5 linked regions of the Xenopus tropicalis genome follow. The protein of the gene in region 3 interacts with the protein of the main gene of each other region in a biochemical or structural test. Links are inferred from orthologs where the notes say so. Each region holds a gene or a part of one and is shown on either strand. Other genes may lie near its edges. The genes, in order: nup88, kpnb1, nup98, nup155 and nxf1.

The links.
Region 1: the proteins of nup98 (region 3) and nup88 form a complex in vitro, tested with the Homo sapiens proteins (2 studies listed by BioGRID). The link is inferred for Xenopus tropicalis from reciprocal best matches to the Homo sapiens genes NUP98 and NUP88.
Region 2: the proteins of nup98 (region 3) and kpnb1 form a complex in vitro, tested with the Homo sapiens proteins (3 studies listed by BioGRID). The link is inferred for Xenopus tropicalis from reciprocal best matches to the Homo sapiens genes NUP98 and KPNB1.
Region 4: the proteins of nup98 (region 3) and nup155 form a complex in vitro, tested with the Homo sapiens proteins (2 studies listed by BioGRID). The link is inferred for Xenopus tropicalis from reciprocal best matches to the Homo sapiens genes NUP98 and NUP155.
Region 5: the proteins of nup98 (region 3) and nxf1 form a complex in vitro, tested with the Homo sapiens proteins (5 studies listed by BioGRID and IntAct). The link is inferred for Xenopus tropicalis from reciprocal best matches to the Homo sapiens genes NUP98 and NXF1.

What each region holds. Positions count from the first base shown.
Region 1 is NC_030678.2:105,073,205-105,077,301, reverse strand, and holds part of nup88 (nuclear pore complex protein Nup88), read left to right. Parts: intron 1-251; coding exon 252-356; intron 357-1,641; coding exon 1,642-1,800; intron 1,801-2,719; coding exon 2,720-2,845; intron 2,846-2,981; coding exon 2,982-3,047; intron 3,048-4,097. UniProt on the Homo sapiens protein: Component of nuclear pore complex.
Region 2 is NC_030686.2:10,834,491-10,839,285, forward strand, and holds the start of kpnb1 (importin subunit beta-1), read right to left. Parts: upstream 3,061-4,795; 5' UTR 2,871-3,060; coding exon 2,831-2,870; intron 2,697-2,830; coding exon 2,638-2,696; intron 1-2,637.
Region 3 is NC_030678.2:177,463,089-177,467,751, reverse strand, and holds the start of nup98 (nuclear pore complex protein Nup98-Nup96), read left to right. Parts: upstream 1-1,472; 5' UTR 1,473-1,711; intron 1,712-2,377; 5' UTR 2,378-2,418; intron 2,419-4,663. UniProt on the Homo sapiens protein: Plays a role in the nuclear pore complex (NPC) assembly and/or maintenance. NUP98 and NUP96 are involved in the bidirectional transport across the NPC. May anchor NUP153 and TPR to the NPC.
Region 4 is NC_030677.2:197,771,303-197,775,399, reverse strand, and holds part of nup155 (nuclear pore complex protein Nup155), read right to left. Parts: intron 3,401-4,097; coding exon 3,297-3,400; intron 1,647-3,296; coding exon 1,513-1,646; intron 438-1,512; coding exon 246-437; intron 113-245; coding exon 1-112.
Region 5 is NC_030680.2:36,497,656-36,501,537, reverse strand, and holds part of nxf1 (nuclear RNA export factor 1), read left to right. Parts: intron 1-1,525; coding exon 1,526-1,708; intron 1,709-3,343; coding exon 3,344-3,404; intron 3,405-3,882.

The sequences.
Region 1 (4,097 bases), about 72 Mb from region 3:
ATTCTTGTCATGCCTCTCATTTTGCTTAATGTGGATGCCCTGACAGCCCTGTTTTAAACAGCTACACACCCAGCAACCATCCACTGTTTCTGACTACTATCTTGGGACCTGTACAATGCATCAACAATTTTCGTTAAAATATTCAAATATTCCTCGTTAACTTGATCACTCTCAGCTTGTAGTCTGCTTGATAATAAATTGTGTTAATAGCCAGTGTATTTTCTTTTTCTGTATTCTGTTCACTACTGTAGGCTGCCGTCTCCTATTCAAGGCTTTTGGATCATCTCAGATCTTTCACTTGGCACCTCGATGATATGCATTACATGTGACTTTGAGTGTATTGCAAGGCCATTGCTGTATGTATTTGCAACGTAATGAGAATGAAACTGGGTTTTTTGGAAGTGTTTACATTGATTTTGATGTAGCTATGTTTTTAATTGCATTTCATAATTGTTGCAAAGACAACACCAGAACACCTTTTGTGAAATTTTATATTGTGATTTACCTGCAGAGAAAAGTACAAAGAAACTCTCTTTATTTTGTTTAATGTACAGCTATTAGGCGGGGTGGAGAACTGTGTACATTCCTCTAAACAGGTGTAGTCCTGAAGAAGGAGGTTAATGGCAAACCACATTCGCGTTTTAATGTAGATGTTTGATATTAAATAAAAATATGTTGCCAGCATCGGCGACAGCAAAACAACATGTTTGTGTGTGCATTAAAATTGTGACACCAGGCACAAAGTATTTTTGTCAGCACACCAAAAATTTTCTATGCACAAAAGAGTTTTAGGTGACTGATACCTTTGAACAAGGAAGCAGTATAGTTCAGTGGTTTCCTTGTATGCACCTCTGCCACAGGTGCAACTTCCAATAAAAAAAACAAATTAAAGTAGCAAGAATTGGGCTATTAAGCAGAAAAGGTGCCAAAAAAAAAAAGTGCATTTATTGTCCGCACATGTTTCAATCCTCCTGGGTCTTTGTCAGTGCTACGTGCTACAGTGTTTAATGCTCCAATGTAAAGGCCTTAATGAGTATTGGAGCCTTAAATGTTTTGTTTTGTGATAGACGAAAAGTTCACTTCACTTCCAAAGTGCGTGTGTGTGTGTAATATAAATATATATATATATATATATTCTCTCAGAGATCACATGACCAGAAATAATGCAGCTTAAACTTTAACAGAAAGTAGTGTAAAAGCAAAAGGCAGAACTCTGTCCATTAATTGGCTGATGTGGCCTAGCATGTATGGGTGCCTTGGCTTGTTTGTGTTAACTGTGAATCCTATGATCCCAGGAGGTGGCCCTTAATTCTTAAAATAGCAATTTTCTATTTAGGATTACCCAATAGCACATACTACTAAAAAGTATATTTTTATGAAAATGGTGTATTTAGATGAAGCAGGGTTTTACACATGAGCTTGTTTATGCAATATATTTTTATAGAGACCTACATTGTTTGGGGGTATAGTTTTCCTTTAATTTAAAATTGCTCAGAGTGCTCTACTTGCAATTTACATTGATTATTTTTTCCATATGCTTTTACTACCAAGGATTATTTCCATATAAAAGAATAGTTTAAAATGTAAGGTTCATGCTGTATTAATGTCCTAATTAATGGTTTATTTTTTTTCTTTATCTAGAACCACCATTCGACCACCCTCTCCACCTCTTCTTTGCTTTAAGATTGACAAAAGTTCCACAGAGATCATTCCACATGTCCTAGAAGATGTAAAAGGGCCATTTGAAGAGCACATCAGAGGCATTTTAAGACGCAACTCTGCAAACCCATTGTTGTTGAAGTAGGTGGAACATTATCATTTATGAGTTAACAACAAGGTACCTTTGTAATAGCCCACACTTCTGTAAAAGATCTAAGAGCCAAGAACTGAACTTTTAGGAAAATTTGGTCCATTGTTGTAAAGCACACGGAGAAAGCAAAACAAACAACATGTATGAAAGTCTGAGAAACAGGTTTGACACTGCATCAAGACAAGCCAGATTCTATATATTGTGGTAACCCACCAAACAGGCCAGTCTTCTATCCCTGAGCATATTATGGATGACATTCAATTAAAAATATATCAAATGCAGGGCTTGAGAATCTATGCGAGTAATAGGTTCTTGAAGAACCTATTTCGGTTTGGTTGGGTGCATTACTGACCATTTCAGCCTTTCTGTTGTCCATGAAGTTTATGTAGAATGCATGGTAAGGGGTAGAAAATGTAGATCAGTGAAACTTTATAACATTTGTGTGCTTTCGCTGAGCTAAGATACCTGGCTGGTGAGCAATAGGGGAAGAACAGAATCTCAAAATTAGCTTCTTAAACACCTTAGGAAAAAGGCTGCTCTCCCCAGTGGCCAGTTTCTGGCAATTTAAGAATTCCACCTTCCAGGTTTGAATACCAGATGATGATAAAATAGTGAGTTTTCTCTTTCATGGTAACCTCACTGATGAATGATGTGTAACAGTTGTGGCATAGGAAGTTAGACCATGACCAGAATTTTACGCAGTTCGTTTTCTTTAATATAGTCTTTATAAGGATACTTACTCCCAACTGTTAAGTCTCATACATCACACCCTGTATATTAATGTTCGGGGAACCACACACATAAATTATGTTACAGGCCACCTTGATACTTTAAGTTTGGTTGTCCAGTCAATTAAGTCCTTCTTCAAGCTATGGTCTCTACAACACTAAAAATGTTGCCATCTTGTAGCTCATCAAGCAAAGATTCCTCTCCTCCACCTGAGGAGTGTCTACAGCTTCTAAGTAGAGCTACTCAGGTTTTCCGTGAAGAATACCTTCTCAAACAAGACCTTGCCAAGGAGGAAATCCAGAGACGGTAATATATTTCATTTGTTTCTCATTTTGTGCAATTTATTTTCTTTTGTTCTCATTGCGTGTTCTACTTTTATACTAAACTTGAGAGAGAGAGAGAAAAAAAAGAATTATTTTTTCTAATTTTTTTCTCTAATTAGAGTTAAACTGTTGATTGTTCAGAAAGAAAAACAGCTAGAAGATCTACAGTATTGCAAAGAAGAAAGGTATGTAACTGTTTAAATGAGCATTAAAAAGAACCATTCAATAATCCCATTAAACTATTATAATTAATGCATCCACCCTATGCCGAAACACATACAATTGTATGACTGTGAGGCTGCAATATTATTGTTACTTTTTATTACTTATGTTTCTATTTACCCCCTCTTTTGTTCCTTTCAGCTTCTCATTTAAACCACTGCTTAGCTGCTAGGTAAAATTGGGCCCTTGCAACCAGATAGCTGGCAAAATTGAAAGCTGCTGAACAAAAAGCAAAATAATTTAAATTGTGTGGTTATTCAAAAAACCACAACAATTAAATAAAGACCTATTGCAAATTATCTCAGAATATCACTGTCTACATCATATTAAGTTAAGTTCATTTAACTTAACCCCTTACTTTTCATTGGTTGCTTATGCACTGTAACCAGTTGCATAAATTAAAAGGTCAGTGGTTAATTTCTCATTTGCAATGACATAGGCAAACAGACTCGGCATATCCTAAATTTTACAGACTGTTATGTTAGATTTGCAGTACTCTGTCACAGGCACAGGAAGCAGTAGACTGACAGGAGACACAGCCAATAGGAGTTAACGTCTGCTGCCAGTACTACTGTATGTGTGGCATCATATAAGAAAGTAAAAAGCAACTGTAGTGTTGCCCTACTGACCTACCAGGTCAAGAAGTGCAGAAGTGAAGGATATGGAGAGGGAAGATTGTTCTATTAATGTGAACTGTTAGATTTGTTATTGTACCTTTCCTTAAAGGGGTTGTACATCTTTTTGGACATTGCAGAGATCTATTCAATAAAAAGGATTGCCATTTCATCCCTGTAATGTGAGGTTTCAAGTCTGTCAGATTATGTAGAAATCTTTACACCTCTGTATTAAATATTAATAATAATATATTAACATAAAGGGGTGCGTTGTCCGCATCTAACTGTATTTTTACAGCCTGTCTTCAGCACATATCTAAATTATTGCTAAGTACCAATGCAGGGAATTGTTTTTGCCTAGTTTGTGTCTAGTAATTGATGTTAGCAGGATGGTATTTT
Region 2 (4,795 bases), on a different chromosome or scaffold from region 3:
AAAATCTGATGATTGTTGGAATAGAGCGGACACCGCTGCAGATTCACTCATTAGCACAATCAGTCAAATGAGGCAAAGTATCTTGCTATTCAAATAGAATCCTGCCCATACAGCACAGACTTGTTTTGCAGTTATCTGACTGACTTATATAAGCGCTACCTTTTGTCCAATCTCTACCTTTTCACTTAACATACACAACACTTCTAATTTTTCGTAGCCAATTGGGCAGGTCAGACATTTAACTGGCTGATCCAACAAGGGACCAGAAATTGGATCATTCTGTGTGACCTAAGGAGACATCAACATGCTGGACAATTTTCAGGGAAAACTTTATTTGGGTAGGTCTCTTGAGGACACCATATACAGACCAAGAAGGGCAGCGGGACACAGTGAGATTAGTCGCCCCGCGACAAATCTTCATTGTTATGGGCGACTAATCCCCCGCAATGCCATCCCACCAGCTAGAATGTAAATCGCCGGCAGGATGGAATACGCATTTCTGCAATGTCCCGAAATCGGCCGAAATTGTCTTGAAAGGAAACTTTGGGACACTGCAGCGACGCATATGCCATCCCACCGGCGATTTACATTCTAGCCAGTGGGATGGCATTGCCGGGAGATTTGACACTGGCCAATTAATCTCCACGTGTGCCACTGCCCTAAGTGGATAAACTGATCTAAAAGTCAGTAGCTTTTTTTTTTAGCCTATGCAAGGCCACTTTAAGTGATTGTTATTATAAAAACAAAGTGACATGGAGGTAAGAGATGAATTCTGGCATGAGGAAAGGTACATGATGGTTCTATTAAACCAGTGGTGCCCAGATTTTGTCACTCTGTGATCTACTCTTCCCACCTGGCCTCAGTCATGAGCTCTACCACAGTTAAAATAGTGCAACGTCTATCATTTGGCACAATAAGCAACAGAAATATCAATGGATGTTTAACAAATACACATAGCAATATATAAATGCAGTGCCAAATTCACATTTAATGCCCACATAACATTATTCACGTGCCAACTTCAAGTTTAATGTGAAAGGATTGTAGTAGTTTTTACTTCCCTTCCTTATGGCCCACTTTGTAGTCTGCACACAGAAACATATATGAAGTGGGAACAAATATATACAGTGGCCCAGTGGGGACAATCTTCTATACTGGGATGAAACTACAAAGACGGCTTGAGCAGTCGCACTTGAAAGCTTCAGTATGCTGGGGGGGGGGGGGGGGGAAGTGGCGGGATGTCATCCCACTGCATTCCACCTTGAGGTCTACCGGTAGACCGTGATCTACCTTTTGTGCACCCCTGTATTAAACCCTGCCCCCCACCCCCAGCCTGGTCTTTGCCAAGTAAAGATGGCAGCCATTGGCACCACTTGTTTCCCGAGATCCTTTCCTAACATTTCAAAAACTTAAAGGAACAGTAACACCAAAAAATGAAAGTGTTTTAAAGTAATTGAAATATAACGTACTGTTGCCCTGCACTAGTAAAACTCGGGTGTTTGCTTCAGGAACACTACTATATTTTATATAAATACACTGCTGAGTAGCCCTGGGGGCAGCCATTCAAGCTGGAAAAAAGTCACAGGTTACATAGCAAATAACAGATAAGACACCATTGTATTCTACAGAGTTTATCTGTTAGCTGCTATATAACCTGTGCCTTTTCTTCTTTTGAATGGCTGCCCCCATGGCTACACACCAGGGTTTATATAAACTCTAGTAATGTTTCTGAAGCAAACATACAATTTTTACCAGGGCAGCAATACAGTATAGTTTAATTTCTTGAAAATATATACATTTTTTTGGTGTTACTGTTCCTTTAAGCGCAGGTCAGTTTTGAAGAAAACAGTAACATGTCAGCTTCATGGCAAAGCAATACAAAACATTTGGTACTTAGAGAATACCTTGAAACAGGAAGCAAGCATTTAGTTTGCAGGGTTTAACGACATTTATTGCAATACAAGGAAGCTCACAATGACAGGAATGTGGCATGTCACACTGCACCTACACTGAGTTCTGTACATTCTCCAAGGACTGCAAAAAAATGCAATTTGTCAGCACAGGAAAATCACACAACACGCACAGAGCAGCCCAAATGCGACATCATGCGATGCCACAAGGAGCCCCATTAGCCCCACATAGCTGTGCAACGCAACGTGCTTTACCACCGCCCCCCTCGCCGCTCCCTCTTCTCGCTTTCTCATTGGCCGAATTAGACCCGGCTAAATGGCTCCGCGCCTCCCCATTGGCTAGCGCAGGGTGGCGGGCAAGTTAGGCTGCGCCAGTCTTGGCGCTTTTCACTGAGGCCTGGCCGGGCACCACAGCGCTAGCCATTTCAGAACAGCTGGCGACCTACTGGCAGTGGCAGTCCCAGCAATTCCCGGCTTCCTATGTGCTGCGGGGGTTATCAGAGAACGATTACCCCCCAGGCCTAATAAGTCCAAATAAACTCCCAGCATGCCCCCTGCCAGCTTGGTGGCTACTTTGATAGTGGGACTCTTTTTATAAGTGTCGCTGTTTCCTGCATGCGTTTAATGTAGTGGGAGAGCCGGCACGGCCAACCTAAGGCTCCGTGTGGCTGTCATGGTGCCTCCCTACCCGGCTTCCTTCTCAAGCCCAACTTCTATCATTTCTCACCAGATTCTCGACTGCAGCTTGCTCCAGGAACTTCTGCGCCGCCTCCAACTCATTGCGGTCTGAGGGAAAAGAAGGGTAGACATGGGTTCAGGGCCCTGCCGCTCTATTGGGGATCCCCATGCATTTCCCTGCTGCCCCCCTCCCCTCACTGTTATCCCACACAATAATACCCCCAATAACCAGCCGCCCGTACCCGGAGACACGGTCTTTTCGAGGATGGTGACGAGCTCCATGCGGGCGGTGCCGGGTCACAGAGCTCAGGCGGGCTGCCGGAGTGAGCAAGCGTGGCGCGGAGGGATTCGAGCGCGCTTGTGTCAGAGGGAAGAATGGGGCTGAGGAGGTGTGGCTCTGCTGCGCACGGATATCTGCCGGATCTAGTTGTACGTCCCGGAAACCTATTGGTTGTTGTGAGGGGACTTGCTGCGCCTAAGGAGTGCCGCTAAGGGTTGTGGGGGAGAGGGGGTGCGTCCTATTAGGTAGAGCCAATGAAAGGGCGGGCCCATTAGCCAAGTCCTCACACTGTGGGGTGAGAGTGTTCCCTTTCCGTACTGAGTCATTATTACACTATGGCGAGCTGAAGGGTAGTTGAAAAGTACGATACTTTTTATTTTATTGTAGAAATGGAAAAGGCGACTGCTGCTGTGGTTAGAGCTCCCCAAAGGCATTCTGGGTGTTGTAGTCTTTCAACAGCTGAAAGAGAAGTTTAGCGCTTCCAATCTGCTTAGTCATGTGGCCGCCGCTCGGCAGGCTGTAGTGCTAGCAGCGCAGCTTTACTGAGCCCAAGTCATTGGATGGCTTTGTACAAACCACGACAGATGTTTAGTGGCAGGAAATAGAAAAAATGCACCAAAAAAAAGAGCTGGATTAAAAAACAGTCATTTTTATTCAATCCTATATGTAAAAACCTATATGTACAGCCATGGAGCTACGCTTAACGCGTTTCATGGCCTCAGAAGCATTATCAGCCCGTAAGTGGGAGGGGCTTATATAATCCAACTAGTCAAAAGACTAGTTGGACTATATAGACCAGGGGTCTCAAACTCGCGGCCCTCAGTACAGTATTTTGTGGCCCGCACCAACGCCTTCTCAAAAGCAACGAATGGATCGCGATTTTTATTGCGATTCAAGGGATAATGCAAGGCACGGCGGGCGGGAGCTGCTGATTGCGGAAATGACATTATGCCATCATAACAGTTATTATGGGAAGACATTCTGTGTGCACAGCTGCTAAGGAGCTAATTGTGCACACAGAACATCTTCCCATAATAACTGTTATGGCATAACGTCATTTCCGCAATCAGCAGCTCCCGCCGTGCCTTGCATTATCCCTTGAAAGCCAATTTTTTGTGAAATCCCTTATGCGGCCCAGCCTCATCCTGACTTTGCCTCCTGCGGCCCCCAGGTAAATTGAGTTTGAGCCCCCTGATATAGACTACATGAACCCTTACACACCACACAATATACATAAAAGAAGTACAAATAAGGATAGCAAAATAGAAATACTTATAGTTAGGAGGACCCAAATATAATGGAGGGAGAATCAAAAAGTTAACCCCATTTATACAATTCTCAATAGAAACAGGATAACTCCCATTCCCTATTCATCCCACCCTGGAACTCCAGGGAATTCAAGTTATAGATCCAAAAAGCCTCTTGCCTTAACAGTCTCCTCTCTAGATCCTTATCTGAAAAGATGGCCTGTCAATAATCTGAAAAGTAAAATGTGCGTTACCGTCATGTTTCTTCAAAATACGTTTGGACATTGCTGATCTTAAGGGCAGTAACACACAGGTAGATTAGACGCGCCTTGAGAGGAAACTTCGGGCGACATTGCGGCGCCACGTATGCCATCCCACCAGCAATTTACATTCTAACCGGTGGGATGGCATTATGGGGAGATTAGTTGCCCGTGAGAATGGAGATTTGTCGCGGGGCGACTAATCTTCCCGTGTACCCCTGCCCTAAGTCTCCTGTCTCTAAAGAGTCCAGAATGCATTTAGATACATTCCATATGGTCTTCCCCACATACTGAGAACCACAAGAGCATGTTAATATACTACACCCTTATGGTGCCCATACACGGGCTGACTATAGCTGCCGATATTGGTCCCTTGGACCGATTCGGCAGCTAATCGGCCCGTGTATGGGCAGAACAGAG
Region 3 (4,663 bases):
CCCCTCACTGTATTGAGGAAGACTAACAGGGCTTTGCTACACAGGGGCAGGGGGTGACTGGGAAGCTGGATAGATAACTCCATACCTCCCAACTGTGAAAAGTCCCTCATTTCCCTTTGATCTCCTGCACTGAAGCTAAAAAGATACAATGTTTCTCAAACTTAATTAACAAAAGTACCTTTTGGCAGAGAGCCCAGAATTCGTAACAAGCATCACCTGCACTTAGATACAGTGTTTCTCATGTTTAATTAAATAAGTAGCTTTTGGCAGAGAGCCCAGAAAGGTAAAAAGCCCCCCCCCCTGCACTGAGATACAAGTGTAACTAATAAGCTAAACAGGTTTCTTGGGGGAATGGAGACTCACAGCCTAAAGGCCAACTTCACCTTTTTCAGCAAAACTGGAATAACACATAAAACAGGACCCCCCCAAACCCCCAGAAATGTGATCAAACTTTAAATCACCTGGGGGTGTGTGTCCCTCTTTCCGTTTTCAAAATGTTGGCAGGTAACTGCTCTTTTGTTTTGTGACCCAGGCTTTCCATATACACAGGGGCCCCCAGTGATCCAGCTGTCTGACTAACAGGCTCCCTCATTGGCTGCAAGTACAAATATCCCACATTTTGGGCTCATAATGGTTTCCCATAGTTTAACCCCCCCCATTTGACTTATTAGTCTTAATGCCAAGAATATAGGCACTATGGTTGAACGTGATGGATGGATGTCTTTTTTCAACCCAACTTACTATGTTACTATGTAGGCCACACCTCCTGCCCTAGCTGAGCTGTAATTGGACAGGAAGATTAAGGGGAGTCAGTCAATGGGCCTAGAAGCAATCACCTCAGACAATACCCAGGGGAATCAGCATCATGGAGGGGGGGCATAGTTTTGGGGGGAAGAGCCTGTAATACCCCTGTAGCCCATATGTACCCTCCCCAAACTAACTATAACTGCCCCTCAGGCTGGGCCCCAATCCAAGTCACTACAGGGCCCGCCCCACTGCTTGGAAGCCACTAGTCCCGCCCAGGAGGGAAAAAAGTTACTAGTCCCGCCCACCGGACCATGACACCATGCGCTTGCACGCCATATCTAGCGGGAGCGCGCACCATTACATTTCCAAGGAGCGATTTTTAAAAGAGTAGCGGGACGCTCGTCCCCGCCCCTTTCATACCCATTGGCTAACAGCATAGCCAATCCAGTTCTTCTATTCCTTGCGCGCCGCTCTCCACATAACTTGCGGGACCGCGAATCTAAAGCTTTACTATGCGTGTCATTTTGTCCTGAGACGTGAATAGAATTGCATCTCTCCTAAAACCAATAAACATCCCGACTCAGTCTGCGAGTTTTAATTGAGAGCGCAGGAATGAGTCACGTACTGACTAACCATCACGTGAGCAGAGCCGCGCACGCCATAGGGTCCCGCCGCTCAGCCAATCGTTATGAAGGGCGCGTAAAGTAGTCCCGACCTTTGTTTGACTGGCATAGGAAGCGGCCAATCCCATCGAGCGTTTGACGGGGGCGGGGCTCAGATCTGACGTTCTACCCCTGACGCCAGCGCCATATCGCTGGATGACGCACTTTAGCTCCCTTGCGTGACGGGAGCGTGACTGCCGGTACCGGAGAGTCTGGGGAAAGCGTTTTCATCTACTGCTGTGTTGGGCGCGTACGAGCTGAGCTTTTGGTTGGGGGCGCTGGTGTCTGGAGGCCGCGGGCAGGTAGGCGGGGAGAGAGCGTCGGGCTGAGGTGTGGAGCGCATGGGGATTAGTGGGAGGTGTGAGCCGCCCCCTCCCGCTGTAGTGCGGTGGAACAGTCCGCCTTATTGCCTAACCTTCTCCGGAATGTTCCACTTCCATGTGTGGGGGGCGATTAAACCTGATACCCAGTCACTGCTTCCCATATCCAGGGCAGGACTGAGTTCCACATTTCCGCTTGCTGCCGGTTGCTACCGGTTTCTGGTTAGTGACAGGACTATGTTCCGCCTGGTTCCGGTGCTGCTGGGTTCTCTTGGTTACTGACGGGCCTGGGATCCCCAATGCAGTGTCCCCAATGAAACCCCTCCCCTCTGATAGTGACAGTTTGGGGTCTCCCCTCTCTGTGCCATTGCAGCCTCCATAGGTTTCTCTGCTGCGTCTGTCGCACCGCTGCCTACGTCTCTGTCCCCTAATGTGTTTGTTTCTATTGCCCCACATGGGCGTGTCCTAATGTACTGCCCCAGTCAGGCCCCTCTCTCTGTTTCCTGTGTCTTGTGCTTACAGATAAGGAGGCTTTCCCCATACAGGGAATCTCATATAATACTCAGAGTACTTCCACCACTTTGTTTTACTGTAAATGTTTTCATAACTCAACCTTATTAGTCACTTTTGTTTTTGTGTTTTTTCCAGGGCCCTGAATCTGTTCAAGAGCATTCCATCTCCTCTCTCAGGTAATGTATTTCTTTTGTAAGAACTGGGACTATAGCGGGGTGCCTGTTACCCCAATGTTTCTATATATCTGTAACCTTGTTATGGGCTAAGGGGGCCCAGCCTGAAGGCCAGTTAGGGGGGGATTTGGGGTGAGTGCTTATTTGTGCCCTGGGTACCCCTGGAACTATAGCGGGGTGACTGTTACCCCAATGTTTCTATATATCTGTAACCTTGTTATGGGCTAAGGGGGCCCAGCCTGAAGGCCAGTTAGGGGGGGATTTGGGGTGAGTGCTTATTTGTGCCCTGGGTACCCCTGGAACTATAGCGGGGTGACTGTTACCCCAATGTTTCTATATATCTGTAACCTTGTTATGGGCTAAGGGGGCCCAGCCTGAAGGCCAGTTAGGGGGGGATTTGGGGTGAGTGCTTATTTGTGCCCTGGGTACCCCTGGAACTATAGCGGGGTGACTGTTACCCCAATGTTTCTATATATCTGTAACCTTGTTATGGGCTAAGGGGGCCCAGCCTGAAGGCCAGTTAGGGGGGGATTTGGGGTGAGTGCTTATTTGTGCCCTGGGTACCCCTGGAACTATAGCGGGGTGACTGTTACCCCAATGTTTCTATATATCTGTAACCTTGTTATGGGCTAAGGGGGCCCAGCCTGAAGGCCAGTTAGGGGGGGATTTGGGGTGAGTGCTTATTTGTGCCCTGGGTACCCCTGGAACTATAGCGGGGTGCCTGTTACCCCAATGTTTCTATATATCTGTAACCTTGTTATGGGCTAAGGGGGCCCAGCCTGAAGGCCAGTTAGGGGGGGATTTGGGGTGAGTGCTTATTTGTGCCCTGGGTACCCCTGGAACTATAGCGGGGTGACTGTTACCCCAATGTTTCTATATATCTGTAACCTTGTTATGGGCTAAGGGGGCCCAGCCTGAAGGCCAGTTAGGGGGGGATTTGGGGTGAGTGCTTATTTGTGCCCTGGGTACCCCTGGAACTATAGCAGGGTGACTGTTACCCCAATGTTTCTATATATCTGTAACCTTGTTATGGGCTAAGGGGGCCCAGCCTGAAGGCCAGTTAGGGGGGGATTTGGGGGTGAAGTGTTTGGGGAATGAGTTACGTTTGGCTTTATTTATATTTTGGCTTGGCAGGTTTTAACTGTTTCACATCGGTAGCGTTTCTCTAAGTAGTCCACAAGTAATATATATTGTAGCTAATTGTTAGCTTGTGGTATTTCAGATAATCAGCTTTTGCTTCATTGTTTCATGCTTCAGAACCAGTAGTGCAGTGAATATAAATGGCCAGACACATACTCCATTCAGTGGCAAACACATTTATATTTAACTGGGGATAATGTGGAATGAATGTATATTGGACAGTTTGGGGTTATAGTCCCAGGAATGGGTATAAGACTGGCAGGTTTGTATGCGCTCTGGGTACTTGGGAGCAATGGTATAAAGATTATGTATATAATTCATACGTTCATTAACGGACAGTATTGTGTTTGTGTGAATATATAGATATATACACCCCGTATACATTCTCAGCGGTTGTATTCTGCTGCTTTGTGTTTATAGGGAACATATGGGGAAATGTCATAAAAGGTTCAAAGTTTCATGCTGGTAATCCCCCTAGAGCAGCCAATCAGCAGGCAGCATTTACTGGGCAAACAAGATTTTGGTTGCTAAGGGTTTCTGCACCTGGTAGTTCCTTTTATTCTATATGTTGAGTAGCATTTGTGTAAATCTCTTGCTTCCTTCAGTCATGGAATTACAGTATCACCCCAAAATCTTGTGTATGTGCCAGAATGGGGGGCCTGATGCCCATGCACTGGCTACACCGATTCATGGTGAAGAGGGAGGGGGAAAGTTTAAGTAATTGGATGCCCCGCCTCTATGCATTAGAGGCGGGGCAGACAATAGATGATTGACAGCTGTGATTTTTGCAGGATTGTTGCAGGCACTGCAAAGGCTGTGCGAGGCATTAAGGGGGCTGTTCACCTTGGAGGTAACTTTAAGTATGATGTAGAGAGTAGTATTCTGGGACAATTTGCAATTGGAGGACCTGAATAGGGAAAACAAGTTACAAAAAGTAACAATAACCATAAAACTGGAGCCTCACAGAGCAGTAGTGTTTTGGCTGCCGGGGTCAGTGACCCTAATTTGAAAGCTGGAAAAAGGCAGTAGAAGGCAACTATTTCAAAAACTATAAAACAAAAATAATGAAGACCAATTGAAAAGTTGCTTAGAATAGGTAGTTAACACA
Region 4 (4,097 bases), on a different chromosome or scaffold from region 3:
GAAGGTCAACCTGTTGACTTATTTTTTGATACTCTTTTAATGACTCTCGTAGCATTCTCTCCTTTTCCAGTTTGTTTGGAACATGGCGGGATCTTTGCAAAAGTTCATTTGCCTGGAAAATAAAATTAATTTGTAGCGAATTTCAATTTATATTGTTAGATGGCAAATTGATCAATTGCACATAACGTATATAAAGGCCTTTTTAATACATAGTCTTTGCAAACATTGCATCTCCTGATTTTTACCTTTGAGCACACTGCATCGTCAGTGCTGTACAGAAGAGGACACACTTCTTGAAGTCGGTAACTAACTCCATCCACTGATGCGTTGTCTTGGATGTAGCAATTGATCAAAGATGCGGTAAGAGCCCCCGCCAGCTCTTTGTCTCTGATCACAAGATCTTTAAAAGTGGTTATCTTCAGCTGCTCCTGGAGTTCCTGTGTGTAAGAACACAGACATTCAGTTTCTGTCCAAGGAACTCAATAGCTTTTTTTAAGTGAGAACTGAAGCCTAAAAAAAGAATATGGCTAAAAATGCTATATTTTATATACTTTTTCTTACTGTGCCAGCCTAAAGTTTCAGCATCTCAATAGCAGCAATGATCAAAGGCCTTCACTTGTCACAGGAGCTCCCCATCTTGAAAAGTGTCTGACACTTACGTGCTCAGTGTGCTTCGAGGAGCTGTTGAGAAGCTGAGCTTAGGGGTTGTCGCAAATTACCAACCAGAAAATGAGGTTGGCCTGTCATATAAGCTGATGCTACAGGGCTGATTATTGAATTCTAATGCTAATTGCACTGGTTTCTGAGCTGCTAAGTAGTAATTGTCTGAATTACTACTTAGCCTTATATTGTGACATTTATGTTCTATATATACACAGTATATAGTGAGTGGGTCCCTAAGCTCAGGTTATACTGTGACATTTATATTGTATATATACAGTATATAGTGAGTGGGTCCCTAAGCTCAGGTTATACTGTGACATTTATATTGTATATATACAGTATATAGTGAGTGGGTCCCTAAGCTCAGGTTATACTGTGACATTTATATTGTATATATACAGTATATAGTGAGTGGGCCCCTAAGCTCAGGTTATACTGTGACATTTATATTGTATATATACAGTATATAGTGAGTGGGTCCCTAAGCTCAGGTTATACTGTGACATTTATATTGTATATATACAGTATATAGTGAGTGGGCCCCTAAGCTCAAGTAAGTGACAGCAGCACAGAGCATGGGCAGGGAATCAGCAGAAAAGAAGATGGGGGGCTACTGGGGCATCTTGGGGGGCACCGATTCCCTGCTAAAGGGCTGTGGTTGCCTTGGGCTGATACAGAAGCACAAAACATAATGTACAACATTTCTGCCCTACTTCTTTAGTTCTTCTTTAAGATGCATTAGAGCAAGAGCACATGTAAGCAAACCCAAGCATGGGCTGGTTCTCCCAGATGTTGCTGCTCCCAACACTCTTCAGACAGGGACTAAAGCCACAAAAAATAAACACAAACCTTTTGTAGATCTGAAACAATGAGGCTAAACTGATGTTCACACAGTAGCTTCCACAAAGCAAGAGCTTGGCACATTTTCCTAACCAGCTGATGGATCCCCTGGAGAGATAACTGTTCTGCAAGCTGAGCTTCAGCTGTTGAAAGGAAAAGATTGTTAGCATAATTATTTACAAATACATGTTTAGGCTAATGTGTTCTGCTTATTCATTTATCTTGCTTGATAACACAGTACACTTGGGCATATACACCTTTGATCTTAACTTGCCTTTCATTCCTTGGCCAAGGGGAAAGTAATAGTGAACAAATTTTGCCATTTAATATAATAGGCATCCATTGTGTATTTAAGATGTTGCATAATCAAAAACTGTGTTGCAATTCATCTATTACAAGCTACTGCCAAGCTATACAATAATTTTTAAGGCTTGTTGCTGCCCAAAAGCTCTCCTCTGTAAAGGCGGCTATACATGGGCTGACCCAAATGGTACCCTACCAATCAGCCTGCGGGATCGATGAGTGGCTATACAAGAACGTGAAGTGGAGCTCTTTTGGGCAACAAATAATTCTAATTATGATTATCTACCACAGTGCTGTCCAACTTCTGCGGTGCCGAGGGCCGGAATTTCTCTAGCATACATGGTGGAGGGCCGCTAATGGAAGCCAGTTTTGACCACTCCCCCATTTTAAACCACACACACTTCAAACCACACCCATTTTATCACAATGGTCGCTGCAGGGATATCAACCATCTTTCATATGTTAAAGAATTATATTATGTCATATTAAGACACACCCTTAAATCCATATGCCTTCTCCCCTGTGGATAGCACAGCAACCCCCAGCATATAATTACACACCTTAGGGACCATTTAATGGCTATTTCCAACTGCTAACAAACTCTCAGAACAAACCCCTGCCAGGTTCACCTCCCACAGGCAGCATAGGGTAGGCAGAGTATGGCACACACAGGCAGCACTCTGCCTGCCATACTCTGCCTGTCCTATGCTGCCTGTGGGTGCCATACCCTCCCTGCCCTATGCTGCCTATACACAGGCAGTATAGGCCAGGCAGTACATACGTCTGAGGTGTGAAGAGGTGAACAATGTGGGTGATTATAGCCTAGGCCTGAGCCTGAGGTGTGAACACTGCAGGGGGTAAACAATGCAGAGATTAAAAGGTGTGAACAACACAGGGGATTACAGTTTTAAACAATACAGGGGGATTACAGCCTGAATCTGAGGTGAGAACCATGCAGGGGGCCAGTTAATCATAGTACTGATACAAAGTTAAGCCATCAAAGCAGCCAGACAGGTGGGGGGCCACACAGAGGGGGGTCGAGGGCCGCATGCGGCCCGCGGGCCGCCAGTTGGACAGCACTGATCTACCAGGACAGATATTCCACTATCCAGCAGGATAAAAAGATTATCTGCTCAAATGGTACCCCAACCTGCCATACATTCCCAGATGGACAGGAAGTATGGTCTATCTCAGCCAAACTATCCAACCAAAACGGAGCATGTATGGCTACCTTATACATGAAAGCAGCAGGGGGTAGGGTCTAACAATTGTGGCCAGCAAGTAATGGTGGATCATTGCAAATCCACAATAGAAAGCAATCCCTCAACCTTTGCTCACAACCTGTACAGAGAGATTCCACTAAACTAGAGGCAGCATAGATATCCCCCTGAACTAAATGGAAATAAATATTAGGGCTGAGTATAATTTAAGGATGTAACATAAATACTGGTAAATCTTTCACACTTATTTTAGTGTCCCAGGCAACTTACTGTGGTATTTTCTTTGGAGTTCTTGTTGGGCTTGCTGTGAACTGCCAGAGTCAGGCCGGCCCAGGCCCACAAGTCGCTGCTGACGATTTGCAGGTGTACCAAAGCTGCAGCATGGGGGGGGGGGGGGGGGGGTTCAAATATTATAGTCATGGCTATACAATATATGTAGCAATGCAAGTATAAAAAGAGGGAATGCTGCATTAGCTGAGGGATTATGTAACCCATGGAACATTAAATGCATATAAAAGTCACTGATGAGCACTGGATCCACACACAGATACAGAACCGCGGGCAGTTATACAATCATAAAACTCAGTTACTTCTTATATGCTTTTGATAGACAGAAGTATTATGTTTTTCACTGCAACAGTTTAGTGTATATTTTAGGTCTTACTAATCCCTTATCTGAAAATGTAAAGTAAAAAACATATACTAGGCAGAGAAAACAACAGTTTATGGTGTCTCTATATACTAGACAGAGAAGATAATACACCCTACACCTACACTAATCAAGCGAGGCTGTGCGGTTATCTGTGTACACTTAATCATAGGCTTCTATATTCTTCTATACTTCTATTTCTCACATTAAACTTCAGTGGTCTTATATGTTCCCTACTGCAGGGTTGTTGGGAATTAAAGGGTTGTTCACCCACTTTTAATATGATGTAGCGAATATTCTGAGAATTTGCAATTGGTCATTTTTCATTATTTATAGTTTAATTATTTCAGTTTTTGTTCAGCAGCTCTCCCATTTGGAGTTTCAACAGTGATTTGGTTGCTAGGATCCAAATTACCTTAGCA
Region 5 (3,882 bases), on a different chromosome or scaffold from region 3:
TACAGGTGCCCCGGGCTGGTGCTGTTTTCTCCTAACGGGGGCACCAGCCCGGGGTACAAGGTAGGCGTTCTAAGTCACTTGGGGGTGCCTAACATTTTGGTACCCCCAAGTGACTTAACCTTTCCTTCTCCTTTAATAATGTATCAAATTTTAACAGTTGGCAGCGTGACAGAGTGTTATGTCAGACACTGGTAGGAAAATGAAACAAATTCATTTTTAAATTACTGAACTTAAAGAATAGAAAATAGAAGGCACCCATACAAGTCATTATTGTATACAGGTATAGGACCGTTCATCAAGAATGCTTGGGACATGTTCTGGATAAGGGATTTCTCCATAATTTGGGTCTCCATACCTTAAGTCTACTAAAAATCATTTAAACATTAATTTAAAGGACATGTACTGCATATCCTGATTTCCAGGACTGTTTTTCTAAAACAAACGTTGAAAGGCAGCTACATACTTCTAGGCCTTGAGATAAGGAGCAGCTCATTACACAGAGGCTTCTCAGTGGATTGTTTTTTTTTGTTGTCACGCATCAAAGAATGTGATTGAGAAATATTGCCAAAACACTACTAGTCCTGCCCATCTGTTCCACTTTTTTTCTGCCTCCTTTCTCCACCTGTGCAGGAAAGCCAGCGGCACTCGGCACACTGCACTGTAGGTTAGGAACCAATCAGCAGTTAGACTGACCTGAGCTTGTCTTTGCTTGTGTGACTGCAGGACTGTGATTGGCTACTCCCCTCCTACTGTGCATCTGGCAGGGACCATTGGCACACACCCACCCCTCTTTTGAAACACAGACAGGGACTATAGCAGATTTATGGGAAGCTACAATAAAGGGGCAGTTTTAAAGATGATCATTTTTAGCCTAGAGTGACACCAGCACCATATATTTTATTCATTATCATCTACAAGATTGGGGGAGGGGGGGATCACATACACTAGATGTCTACTTAAAAATATGTAAGTGGAAAAAGTTACAAAGCAGTATAAATAGAAAATAATTTAAAAATAGTTTGTCCTATTATTAATGTGGCAGTAATAGTTTAAGAAAAAAAAAGTAGCTAGTTACTGATTTGCACATTAATCATTGTCCTGGAAAAAATATAGAGGCATGGGATCCATTATCCAGAAACCCATTATCCACAAAGCTCTGAATTACATGACGGTCATTCCCATAGACTTTGTTAACCAAATTAAAAATGTTTTACACATTTTCCTTTTTTTTTCCCTCTGTAATAATAAAACAGTAGCTTGTACTTGATCACAACTAAGATAGCATATAGCATTTGTATTTTAAGTACTGCATTAAAAAGTCATCTCAGTATTTCTGCTAAGAGATGCAATAATGGCATTCATTTTAGAATACTGTTGGTATGGCATACATTATTAATGCCACATTGCTATACAATTTGGTAAATGAACTTGCTTTACTCTCTAGTTCAGCAACACATTTCTTTTTTAGAGATTCTGTGCAAAAGCTTTGTATAATGGATTTACATTTATCTTTCATGTCTAAAAGGCTACTTCTGGTAAACGATGAACAGTTCATAAGGAATGCTACCACCGAGGAGATTCGCAAAGCCTTTGCCACACCTGCTCCCACACCTTCCAGTAGCCCAGTGCCAGTCCTGGCACCTGTGCCCCATGATATGGTGCAAGCGTTCATTCAAGTATCTGGCATGAATGCAGAATGGTCTCAGAAGTAAGTTTATCTGTTGGTACAAACAGGTTACATGTTTTTGAATCTGAATGTATTATTACACCTTTAAAAAAAATCTATTTCATTCAGACTCTTTGTCACTTTCTCAAGAATGGGGGTTCACCCTAACAGATATGAAATTTTAATGGGAGATGTTGGGGAGGATGCTTCTAAACTCTGTTAACAGGCAAACTGACTCTCGGGGCACCATGGGGAATCTATTTTCTGTCCAATACAAGAACTAAGCATATTGGGCAATCAGTCCCTAGGACAGAACCTGCCAAAAAACATTTTGCTTACCTGTTGCTAGGGTTTGTAGAGTAGACACCTTTCCACCCTGTTGGTGAAGCTGGGCAGACTGGAAGGCCAAGGGTTTTTTTTTTTTTTCGGTTTTTTTTAAGAGGGCTGGGAATTTTTCTGTAAGGTAGAGGCTCTTTTGCAGGGATGGACAGACAACTAGAGGATGGGTAGAAGGTTGGAGGAGGTAAACTAGAAATGGGGGATTAACATTAAACAGTTTGGTATATAGAGGGCATAACGGGAATATAGGTTATTGCCCTCAAGTCCTTATGTTAGAAGGTGGACAAAACTTCCAAGGCTGTAGGACTGAATTGTGCTGTATTGTATCTAGTGACTGTATCTAGTAACTGTTTCTCATATTGTTTCACTTTATGTATATAAAAAAACTTCAGGAAAGTGAATTTTGATGCTTTTATGCATTATTACCATCCATAGATTGACTAAAAACAGTCCTTATTGGTATTCAACCATCACAGTTCTTATTTCCTAGCCCAGCCTATTCAACCATCACAGTTCTTATTTCTTAGCCCTTTCCAGATCCAAATAAATTTTTAGACGTTAAACAATTGGGCAGAGGGCTGTGTAAAAGGTTCATGTACAGGTGCTGTGTACCACCATGTCTTGTACAGGTGCCCCTTCTCTTGTTTCTCTTGAGCCTGCTGTATTTAATACCTTTCATTTCCTGCTGCGTACCTGCACACTGTCGTTTACTCGTTTACCTGTGTGCCATTGTATACTCATGCCAAGGAACAAGACAATTCAAAAATAAATTGGTAATGCTCACCTTTACCAGGTGCTGACTGCTAGTCCCACTGCCAGGGCTAAAATACATCTGTAAAATCCAGTACGCTGCAGCACTCCGAATCTTTGTGAAAAATGTTTATTGTGCCAACAAAACTGGCAACGTTTCGGGCTCTCGAGCCTGCACACTCCCTTAAATAAATGTGTAAAGAGGGATTGGTAGGACAACCCCACCCTCCCATTTAGGTTCAATTCCTATCATGCTCAGTGAAAAAACCTTTACAATGACAAATAGATGAAGTGTCCATAATCCAATGAGATCCCTATCAAATGTGCAAATGCTCCATAGTCCGTGATCATATTCGTAGTCCATACTTGGTTTAATCAATTCAATATTGTGTGTATCACTTAATTAATAATTAAAATCAATTATTATGCTGAAAAAAACTGGTTACAAATAGAAACTGTTTGCTCATATCTTGGGGTCTGAATATCTACCAGTTAAAACACCAGTCCACCCCAAGGACAAGAGCTAGAGACAAAGAATTTGCTTACTTTATTATTTAACAAGTGTTCTTTACACTTCTCTTTTATCAGGTGTCTTGAGGACAATGGTTGGGACTTCGACCAGGCAGGCCAAATTTTTATGAAGTTAAATGTAAGTAAGCTATAAACTTAAAGATATCCGTCCGCCTAGAAAGTTCCTATCTGTAAGCCTTATTTATTATAAAAATTTAAAAAGCTTTTGTGATGCTGAGGCTGGAAAATAGTTATGCTTTATTGTTATGGTGTTGATAGTGGTGGTTAAAATGCCCTTTACCCACTCTTGACACATTTCTAGTTAACTTGAATGGGAAGTATTATAGGTCTCCCATATCACGCCAATAGGAAGCATACTGTGTGAATGCAGTAAAATGAGACTGGAATCTGTGGCTGGGAAGCTAAGTTGAGCAGGAACGAGCGTGGGCCATTGGTATGCTCTAGTAGTATGGCATTCTCCACTTGTGCAAATTTATTTTTGTGGTGTGACAAAATCGGCTTATATGGGTTATATGTGACTATTAATAGTTTACTGTACTTTCCTTTCTCTTTCACCTTAAGGGGTTAAAATGTATTTAAAGTTTGTTCAGTACAGC